Rattus norvegicus: one gene and its partners. The protein of the gene in region 2 interacts with the protein of the main gene of each other region in a pairwise test. Links are inferred from orthologs where the notes say so. Each region holds a gene or a part of one and is shown on either strand. Other genes may lie near its edges. The genes, in order: Zbtb43, Ap1m1 and Mtf1.

Region 1 (3,748 bases), on a different chromosome or scaffold from region 2:
GATGTATGTGGCAGTTTTAACAGCTGTGGCTACTGGGTAATGACTAAAGCACTCCTGGCAAACAGTTTCTGATGACACGAGGGATGACTCCACTTGGAAGAACTATAGATACAGTTCTGAAGCAGACAGTACTCAAAGGACTCCCAAAGCCGGGATCTCCTGAGGTGCTAGCTGATGGCTCTTTATTTATGTTTCTCCTCTTCTAAGACCCATAGAGTGTGCACTGATTTCATTCTTTAAAACTCTAAGCCAAAGTGTTTTAATTAGGACGAAGAAGCACAAGTGCTGGGAATGAATTCTGCTCCAGGCAGGGTTTCTTTTCTTGGTGAAACAGAAAACACTTGGTGGCATCTAAGAGTCAATGAAATACGACAGTAAGTCAACTGTTAGGCATATTAGAAAGTTTGAAGCCAAACCCGTTGGCAAAAGTCTTTAATCCCCAGCACTCAGGAGGTTGAGGCAGGAGTATCTCAGAGTTTGAGGCCAGCCTGTCCCTATAGAGATCTTGTCTCAAAAAAACCAAAACAAAACAAGGCCAGGCATGGTGGCACGGGTCTTTATTCTCACCACCTGGGAGGCGGATCTCTGAGTTCAAGACCAGCCTGGTCTACAGAGTGAGTTTCAGGACAGCCGAGGCTACACAGAGAAACTCTGTTTCGAAAAAAGCAAAGACTAAAACCAAACCAACCAACCAACCAACCAGCCAGCCAGCCAACCAAAAAAAAAAAAAAAGACCTTAAAGGTAGGTAAATCAGAAAAAACAAACAAACAAACAAACCCCAAAAGGCCTAGCCTATGAAAAAAGAACAGACCACCTTCTACGCCAATAAAGGAGTATTTTTTTCCAGCTTTACAAGTTCTTTGCCTGTCAAAGGTACTGTGTTTCTCAAATTCCCCCTCAGTAGATCTCTGCAGTGACTCTAAAGGGGCCAGGAGGGAGGGAGGTGGAAAAGTGCTGCCACAAGATTAAAGTCACTCAGGGCCCCAATCTCCTAAGCCTCGGCTGAGCCTGCTGCTGTGAGGGGCTTGACTTGCATCACGAAAAGGGATTCAATTAAGTGTTCCAAACCACGGTTACTTGTGTTGACACTACATCGTTCACACTGATGTGCACAAACCATTTCTAGAATGTCCTGACCATCTCTTAAAACTGTATCTACTGAATGGCGGCCTGGCACTTGATATATTATGTTTCGTGTCCTGTCTGTCCCAGACGCTCCATTCCAAAAGTTTCGGTGTTCATCCCTGTGTCTTCCTCTCAGACAGTACTTTGGAAACAAGCAAGGAATCAATTTCTATTACGTTTTTTAAGTTCTTCACTAAGCTGCTCCTAGAGACTCTGCTACTGTGCTAAGTTAAGGGTCTCAAAGGCAGGTGGAAGTCTGGCCCTCCCTAAGCCTGTATGTAGATGCTGGCCTGGTTAAGCAGGGCACTTCCAAACAGTCCTGAAGGCAGCCTGGGGTTCCTGGAAAGAGCAAAGAGTTGTGGAGACCAGTGCAAACCTCTGGGAAGAGAAGTTCAAGATACACTGAACTGCCTAGATCCTGAGATGGGACTTCACTTAGGACAGTAGCTCGTGACACTTTGCTAGGTTTGGTGACACTTGTCAGAACTGAGGCCAGACTGTAGTCAGACTACTGGTAATGTTGCCTGGGCAGGGGAGTTTCACAGGGTCATGAGTCACCTTCCATGTCTCAGAGGTCCAGGCAAGGCCCGCCCTGCCTAAACAAACCCAGTTGGGAGGGAGAGAAAAAAACCCAGACAAATGGCCAAGAAGTCGGTGTGACATTCGGGCCCTGAACCAAAGGGCGGCCCGAGGGGACAGTAGCAGGGTCAAAACACACTGAGGAAAAGAGGAGACAGAGGTAAAGACAAAGTCCAAAGACTGTCAGCACCAGAGATGCAAAGTGTAAACTCCAGCTGACAAGAGGCCAGGTGAGGACAAAAACAGGTGACAACGGTCTGACAAAGAGGCGAAACTCAGAGCAGCGAGGTTCTCCTTCACGGCGTCGGTTCGCGCGTAGGTGGCTCGACCCCGAGGTCGCCCCGGGGGCGGATTCTCCAAGCTCTCGAGCCTGCGGTGCACCTGCCGCCGGGTGACCTTGGCCAGGAGGTCGCCCGGGAGGCCGCAGGACTCCAAACCGGGGAGCCGGGGCTTCGGAATCACTCGCGCCGTCCCGCATCACCGCCGTCGGAGGGAACGCAGTGTCCCGTGTCGCGGACACTCGTGACCCCGACCGCGACCTCGCGCGCGAGCGCCCAGCCTCCCCACACCGCCGTACCTTCAGACGGCTCCGCGCTCCCAGCTCCAGCCTACCGGAGCGTCCCTGTTGCCGTACGAAGGCCTTATTCTCCGCCGCCACCGCGGGGACAACTTCCGCCCGAGCCTCTCGCCCCTCGGATACGCTTTCTGATCCCGCCCCCGAAACTGCCAGTGCTTCCGGAGGCGTGTCAGCGACGCTGTGGTGTGCGTATGCTCCAGGAGTCCTTTCTGGGCGGGTCTTCAGGAGAGCACGCTAGGGGCTGGCGCCTGCGCAATGGTTTCGAAGCTAGTTCGTAGTTCGTAGCTCTTTGAACCTAATCGATAGTTCAGCGTATAAAGGTGCTCGTCGCCAGGCCTGGGTACTATCTCTGGAGCCCGTGGTGGAAGACTAACTCTTACAAGTTATATGCTAACCTCAAAAGCGAACTATGGTAAACGAACGCTCACTCCTCCCCAGTCCCCCAAAGAAAAAGTAATAAAATTCCAAGATGGCTTTGAACTCACTATGTAGCTCGAGTTGGACTGACATCCACTCGTGCATGTACCTACTGAGTATCAGGATTGCAAGGATGTGTCCCCATTGTTGGTGTAGGGTGGATACCCCGACTGGACCAAACATACATTTGCTTTAGGTTAGACAGTTTCCTAGGTGTGCGCGCCAGTAGGGCTCTGGAACTCAGACGTATTCAGAGAGAAGGCTGTGACTCTCCAAGAGAATTATTCAAAGAAATTCTGGGACGGCTGGAGAAATGGCTCAGCGGTTAAAATCACTCATTTCTCTTCCAGAGGACCTGGGCTCAATTTCAAGCACCCAAATGGTGGTACACAGCCTCCTTAACTCCAGTTCCAGGGTATTTGTCTCCCTCTTCCGGCCTCCACTGACACCAGGCAGACAAACAATACCCAAAACCGTTTGCAGGCAAAACACGCATACACATTTAAAAAAAATTAAAATAAAAAAAGTTCGGGGAAACAAAACAGAAGAAAACAAATACTGAAACACAGAACTGGGAACAGGTGCAGAACATCTTGCTAGGGGGAAAAATGTGGGGCTTAAGGAAATGGCTCAGTTGGTAAATCTTTTGCAAAGAATTGCAAACTTGAGGACTTGAATTCAGTCCCCAGAACTATATAAAAATAGCAGGTGTGGGGGGCTGGAGAGATGGCTCAGTGGTTAAGAGCACTGACTGGGGCTGGGGATTTAGCTCAGTGGTAGAGCGCTTGCCTAGGAAGCGCAAGGCCCTGGGTTCGGTCCCCAGCTCCGAAAAAAAAGAACCAAAAAAAAAAAAAAAAAAAAAAAGCACTGACTGCTCTTCCAGAGGTCCTGAGTTCAAATCCCAGCAACCACATGGTGGCTCACAACCATCTGTAATGGAATCTGATGCCCTCTTCCGGTGTGTCAGAAGACAGCTACAGTGTACTCATATACAAAATAAATAAATCTTTAAAAAAAAAATAGCAGGTGTGGCGGCAGGATTTTAATGC
Region 2 (3,131 bases):
GGTGGGGTGCAGTGTGACCTTGTGACCACTGGTGAGTAAGGCAGGGCTGGGAGGCTTCTAGGGTGCTGGCAGGCCCTGTGCTGGGAAGGTTGTACTTGGAAGTGAGGTCTGCACAACATAGCCCACATAGGAGTGTGGTGACAAGGAGTGACAGGAGAGCAGAGTCACAGAGTGAGATGGTCCTGAGGGTCAGAGCTCAGACACCCAATGTAGAAACTCAGGACTTGAAGCCCACAGGAGCTCAGTCACCAGTATGGGGGCCCAGCCTATACCTGCGCAGGTGGGAACATGGGGGTCTACAGCTTCAGACCACCAGAGGACGGCCACTATGCAGAGACATGACAGGCAAGCTAGAGACCGAGAGGACACTCTATCCAGTGTCTCTTGGATAGGCACTCCTGCTACCACGGGAAGGGAAGTGTGGTTCCTTCACTGCTAGGCTTGCTCTGCTGCAAAGGAAGTCGACCCTTCCAACAGGGTCCCTGTGTGGGGCCTGACCACAGCAGAGAGAAGAGGCTGCACATGTAACAAATAGACTTTAATGTCACTGTCACACATGGGTGGAGGACGACGAGGTCTTGTACAGTGAGACTGGCCTGTGCTGCCCAGGGACTTTGGGGCAGAGGCTGAGGCCATGTGCCCTTCCGGGGAAAACACTGATGTGGTCAAGGGCGGGCAAGGGGGCACAGCTGGCCCAGGAGAGCGACTGTCCTGCCAGGGAAGGACCAGTGTGGATAGGAGGCAGCTGCACAGGACAGGACAGAAAGGTGACAGGACAGCCACAGACGACAGTGACCAACATGCTCAGCAAAATGGCAACAAAAGGAGGCTCCAGTGGTGAGCAGGGATGGCGCCCACAGGGTGGTGGGTGGCCAGTCATGAGGCACCAGGAGCTCAGCTCCAGCTGGCTTGTCCCTGGGGGAGGCTGGCAGACCCTTCCTTCCCACCCTGGATCAGAATGGGACCAGGGAAGGGGTTCTGTGTGAGTCTACTCAGGCTTGAGGGGAGGGTGGCTGCACGTCCAGGGCCACCCTCCAGCTTCAGTTTTGGTGAGTGTGGCAGGTGTGCCCTGAGGCTGGGTGGGCTGGGCTGGTTACCAAGGCCTCTCACTGGGTCCGGAGCTGGTAATCTAGAAACATGGGGGATTCACTCTCAGCTCCACAGATACCCAGGGCACCCACCCTCAGCTCCACAGATACCCAGGGCACCCACCCTCAGCTCCATGTAGGAAGCCACGGCCTAGAAAGACTTCTGTAGGTCCTGCTAGCCAGGCAGCCACTCACCTCCATTCTGCGTGATATAGCGTACCCAGGGCAGGGCCTGGTACCCGCTCTTCTCAATGATTTTCAGGTAGCGCACCTGGACACAAGAGCCTTGAGTAGGTTGCACCCCTACCAGCACCCCTCATCCAAGGGGCAAGGCCAAGGGGGCAGACCTGGCATAGCATGAGGGGTTGTCAGCAGCAGCCAAGACCCAGGCTTGGTGACCTTGGGCCTTTCAGGGGAACAGTGTGTTTCCCTCATCCACACACTTGAGGGACCCCAAGGAAATAGGCCCTATGTCGGGATGGGGCTTCTGCTGTGACACTGGGCTCAAGTGTGAGGTTCAGGCAGCCAACCCCAACACACTCATACCTGGATGCCAGAGGTAGTGAAATAGGGGATCTCGAACTTGACGCTGATGGGAGGCTTGCCCTCCTTGTCTTCCGCTTCCACACTGGGAAGGCCGAAGTGGGCCCGCATCAGGTACTCCTTGCCACCCTGGGGGCCAATGTAGGAGGCAGTTAGGCAGCAGCCCACAGCCATGTGCTGTCTCCCAAGCTAGCCATGGCTCCCAGGAGCCAACTTGGGGCAGGGTGTGACCTGGCTTCACCAGCTCCTAGGGAGAGACGGGTGGCTGAGGAGCCAGACCGTTCAGACAGGACTTGTAGTGAAGGGAGCCCGGGGCACACTGGGGAGAGGGATGTGTCTGTCCCACTGCACAGCCCCAAGGGGACTGTGAATAGGGAGAGGAAGACACTGAGGTGTGGGTAGGTGCAGGTTCCCAGGAGCCCAGCGATAACTTGGAGGTGGTTGGAGAGCGGGGCCAGTCAGGACTAGCTGAGACCCCTGCCCTGCTCTGGCCATGTAGAGTGCATCAGGCCTGGGCTTGGCTGTTCCCTCTGACTGGCACTCTAGCTCTAGCTATACCTGGGACAACACATGGCCTTTGGTTTCCTGAGCTCACACTTCAGGGTGCAGCAGGGCAGGGCTCCATAGCCTAGGTCCCTGCATCGGCTCCCAGCCACAGAGGACACCATGCCATCTGCATGGATCCAGAGCGCATAGCCCTCTGACTCCTGGGACCTAACAACAGAGTAAGGGGGACGGAGAGAGAAGACCTGCCCTCGGGAACACAGGGAAGCAGGGCCTTCAGGGCACAGAGGCAGGAGGGGGGAGCACATTCAAGGCCAGCCTGAAGTACAAGAGTTTGAGGTCACGCTGGACTGCAGAATGAGTTGCAGACCTCTGAGACCATTCAGGGAGACCATTTCAAACTAACAAAGTCCCTACAAAACAAAAACACAAAACAACTTCTATGTGAGAGCAGGAGTTGTAGAAAATGGCACTACATGTTACACTGTGGTCTCGTAGGTACAGACCTAGGCGGAGCTGGAAGGAATGTTTCTCTGCATCGACACTGATGGAAAAATCAGTGAGGGAACTGAACTTGAAGGAGGGCGGGCGACTGGGCTGGGGCGCAGTCACAAATCAAAGACCAAGGGAACATGAGGATGGATGGAGGCAGAGGCAGGAGGATCTCCGTCAGTTTGAGGCTAGCCTGGACTATCTACACAGTGTGCTCAGGTCAGCCAGTGCTAAGATCCAACCTCAAAGACAAAAACAAAAACATGACAGACAAGAACCCCGAACCCTCAAGCACCTCTGGCGGGAATGTAGCACCGGTCACTGCTACACAAACAATTTAAGCTACTGTGGCAGACCATTCTGAGACTCTGTGGGTGTAAGCCTGGGGACAGGAAGCAGGGCATGGAGGAGAGCCCTGTGCTCACACACTCACTGCAGCTGATCTTGGGCGCACCAAGAGCGCCTCTCAGTGGAAAGGGAAGGGGCATGGTGTGGAGTATTATT
Region 3 (3,717 bases), on a different chromosome or scaffold from region 2:
GTATAAACATGAATTCACTTTGGTGAAATTTCTACTTTATTTATGATTTGGAGAGGAACATCTGAGATATTACAATGCAGTATTCCTCAATTACAATGTGGCCATACAATCAAAAGCTCTAGAAAGCAGTCACAACAAAACAGGAAGCGGATGTGCTGTTGAGCGGCATGACTACAGAAGGCTCTTAGCCCAGGAGCTCCTTTAACCCCCAGTTAAAACTGCCAGCGCGCTGCAGAAGGAGCTGCCCCAAAGCCACACCGGGCCCTCATTTGCGGCTTTACTTACTTCTTTCCGTTTCGTTTCAGGACATTCCGACTGCAGAGTAAGAGTCGCACCTTCAATGTTTCTTGGCATGGGCGTGGAACCAGGGTTTATAGTCAAATGAATCTGATCTGGTGAGATAATGTGTTGTACGTAACCCTGGGACATTGCTTCCTGATCTATTAGGAAGCCCTCTTCACCTTCCACCAGAAAAGGCAAGTGTTCTCCACACTGTACATCGTCTTCATCATCCTCCAAAGTGCCAGGGTCCTGTTCTATGAGAACAGTGGTCCTATCATAAACAGTTCCAGATGAGGAAGGCACCAGTCCGTTGTCATCCACAAACCTGAGCATCTTGTCATGCGGGGTTAGGTCATCTTCCTCTCCCTTAAAGAAGATGATGTTGTCGTCTGGACTGTGTTCCCCCATGGTTCACTTGTGCTCAGCCCAATTGTGAGAAATGAAAAGGTAATGGCCTTTCTGCAACAGATAACACCAGAGTTAGAACCATAGCACAAGACTCACCTACATCCTTTTTTTTTTTTTTTTTTGGTTCTTTTTTTTTGGAGCTGGGGACCGAACCCAGGGCCTTGCACTTCCTAGGTAAGCGCTCTACCACTGAGCTAAATCCCCAGCCCCTGACTCACCTACATCCTAAAGTCATCCTTATGGTTCACTTTCCCTCAGTTTAACGAGCAAACCAAAGTGCTAACTGATCCCAGACCTTGGGAGGCATAGGCAGGCAGGCCTCTGTGAGTTCCAGGCCAACCAGGGTTAGTGGTAAGACTCTGTCTCAAAACAAAAAGACAGAGAGCAATCCAGGCCTAGGAATGGTGATGAATGACTTTAACCCTAGCACCTGAGAGGTAAAGTAAGCTGGATCTCTATGAGTTCCAGGTGAACCAGAGATACACAGTGAGAATCTCTCAATCTCTCTCTCTCTCTCTCTCTCTCTCTCTCTCTCTCTCTCTCTCTGTCTCTCTCTCTCTCTGTCTCTCTCTCTCCTCCTCATCTTCCTTGGAAATACTTAAAATCTGACACAATCAGTCACTGTTAAGGAAAAAGCAAATCCCCCTCCCCCGCCCCAAATTCAAAGTTGGTGTTCACAGGATCTTCTAAATGTGACTTACTGTCACATACTTTAAAGATGGCGTTAAGCTTTACTGGCAGGTACTATGCAGCTCATGAGGATAAAAGAGCAAACAGGTGGCTGCTTAAAGAAAAGTTGCTGTAAACCTTAAGTGAGGCACTCCCGTCCAAACGCCCTCCTCCCTCAATTGCACTGAGAGGCAGTACACAGCCTCACGTCGTTGATGGTGCAGAAACAACGCTTTGAACATAATCACCTACAAACCCTTCTTTTGCCCTTTACTGCTTGGGCAACCCATCTGTGCCTGTCATTCGACAGTGGGACCTATGGTTCCTGTTTCATACAGAAAGAGAAACTGCAGGTAAAGTACAATCCCGTCAGGCAGTAGAAAGAGGGTGGCTTCCTTCTAGAACACATGGGCTGCAGGGGACTAAACCTTAATAAGGAATAGCTAATGCAAATCACTTTAATTATTTATATCGTAAAACATGATATGGACCAGAGAGTATTCGTGTACAGAGTGACTAGGCTTTCTGCCCCGAAAGGCTGTCCCTAACATAAAGCATACTGACACGAGTCGGTCAGGAAATGTCAGCAAAATGAATGAAAGACATGAATGAAAGATAGTCTCTTTTTTGAAGATAGTCTCTTGAGGAAATTACCAAATTTGAAGCTTTCATGGTCTGGAATGGTGATTCTTCCTTCACCCGAAAACACACAGGTTCTACAAATGTGGGTTTGGCAGACACAAAAGGAGAATTTAAAATAACCAACACATCACTTGGTTCTCAACCTGGTTCTGCACTTTCTCTTCTGCTCGGAGTCAGCAAGTGAGCCGGAGTGACAAGAAGGTGAGGTAGTTACCAGACACAGATTAAGGGATCTAATCTGAGAGGAACCAGCCCTAACCTTTGCTTACGCAACCCCAGAAATACACGTTTCTCTGTATCTGAGAGGAGAGATAAGAGTCCCCCGGTGGGCTGCCCCGGCACCTTCGGCGGTAACGCAAAGACCAACTTTCCGTAACAAGACCAGGAGGTGTGAGGGTGGCCGAGGACTGCGAACCGAGCACCCCTGAGAGACTGGCAGGAAGACCCTGACCGGGAAAGCACCCCCAGTCCAGGGCTACATAGAAAAACCCCGAGGCAGTCGGGGGGCTACGAGCTGGGAGAAGAGGGGCAGGGTCCGGGTCTCCATGGAAACAGAGAAGGGGGGCTGGATACCCATCCCCATGGAAACGGAGGAGGGGTGGGGTCCCTCGGGTGACTGGAATGAAGTCTCAACCGGGAATGGCTTCGGCAGAGAGCTCAAGTCCCACGCCCCCCGGTTAGTCCCAGCCCCAGCCGAGTCCAGCTTCTGCTTTTACCTCCGCGGCTCCCGGCAACAGCGGCAGCGGCAGCTTCTCCCCTCCCCAGCGGCACCATGATTGCCCCCACCTGTCCCTAGCGTCACTTCCGCTTCCGCTTTCCGGAGGAAGGAGAGGCCGGCCGATCCCTGCGCCCGCTGCCGCTTGTGATTGGCTTTTGCTATCCAGGGGCTGAGACCGCTCCTCTAACCAGCAGGCTGTGGGCGGAGCGAGCAGGGTCAGGCGCTCTCGTGCTGCACTGGGAAGCTGACCGTAGGGAGCGGTGGTCTCGGGCGCGGGAGAATACGCGATGTCAGCCATGGAATTGAGGTGTTCTCAGCCCCAGCTGCGTGCACAGCTGCAGCAGGAAGGGTGCAGTTAGCCGCCGCCTTCCAGATGCGTAGACCAGCCCGCGGTGTCCCTTTTCTCACCCCACTGTACCCACGCACATAGTTCACCTGGCTGAGGACCCTGGGACGGAACGCTGAGCAGAGCGCTCCAGTCGTGTCTCGTTCTCACGCGCCCGCCGGAGCTAGCGGTTCCAACCTTAAGGAGGGATTTTTGCTCTGGGGGAGGTCAGCGCCACCTACTGGCCAGTCTCCTGTCAGCTCCTAATACTCATCCAACCACCCTCGAAACCACTAGCTGGTAGCAGTATTTGAAAGCCCAAGAAGAGATTTTCCTAGTGCTTCTACTATATTCGTTATACTTCTTATTTACCCCATGAACGACTTCTCTAGAACGTTAAGTTGGAGCAATGTCTTTATAGGCAAGATCAGGATTCAGGCCCAAACTGTTGTACCATTCCTTCTGAGTAAGTTTGACTAAGTGACTCTCACGCACCAGAATGTCACATGTCCCTTTGGTCCCAGTTCAGCTGCTCTGTTTTTAAGCCACAAAGGACTAGATGTCAGGAACTACCATCTTTTGAGAGAGGGGAATGGGGGAAGAGAAGACCAATGATTAAGACCACCTAACTGCGCAGACCTGAGAGTTCTTTCGAAACCAGAACCCAAATTGG

What was found.
Region 1: the proteins of Ap1m1 (region 2) and Zbtb43 interact in binary tests that used the Homo sapiens proteins (3 or more experiments, as listed by UniProt). The two-hybrid records come from large-scale screens. The link is inferred for Rattus norvegicus from reciprocal best matches to the Homo sapiens genes AP1M1 and ZBTB43.
Region 3: the proteins of Ap1m1 (region 2) and Mtf1 interact in binary tests that used the Homo sapiens proteins (3 or more experiments, as listed by UniProt). The two-hybrid records come from large-scale screens. The link is inferred for Rattus norvegicus from reciprocal best matches to the Homo sapiens genes AP1M1 and MTF1.

What each region holds. Positions count from the first base shown.
Region 1 is NC_086021.1:37,159,104-37,162,851, forward strand, and holds the start of Zbtb43 (zinc finger and BTB domain-containing protein 43), read right to left. Parts: upstream 2,383-3,748; 5' UTR 2,283-2,382; intron 1-2,282. UniProt on the Homo sapiens protein: May be involved in transcriptional regulation.
Region 2 is NC_086034.1:17,620,393-17,623,523, forward strand, and holds the end of Ap1m1 (AP-1 complex subunit mu-1), read right to left. Parts: intron 1,761-3,131; coding exon 1,635-1,760; intron 1,360-1,634; coding exon 1,284-1,359; intron 1,130-1,283; coding exon 1,107-1,129; 3' UTR 518-1,106; downstream 1-517. UniProt on the Homo sapiens protein: Subunit of clathrin-associated adaptor protein complex 1 that plays a role in protein sorting in the trans-Golgi network (TGN) and endosomes.
Region 3 is NC_086023.1:142,346,139-142,349,855, reverse strand, and holds the start of Mtf1 (metal regulatory transcription factor 1), read right to left. Parts: upstream 2,803-3,717; 5' UTR 2,718-2,802; intron 2,669-2,717; exon of another isoform or gene 2,014-2,668; intron 742-2,013; 5' UTR 691-741; coding exon 286-690; intron 1-285. UniProt on the Homo sapiens protein: Zinc-dependent transcriptional regulator of cellular adaption to conditions of exposure to heavy metals. Binds to metal responsive elements (MRE) in promoters and activates the transcription of metallothionein genes like metallothionein-2/MT2A.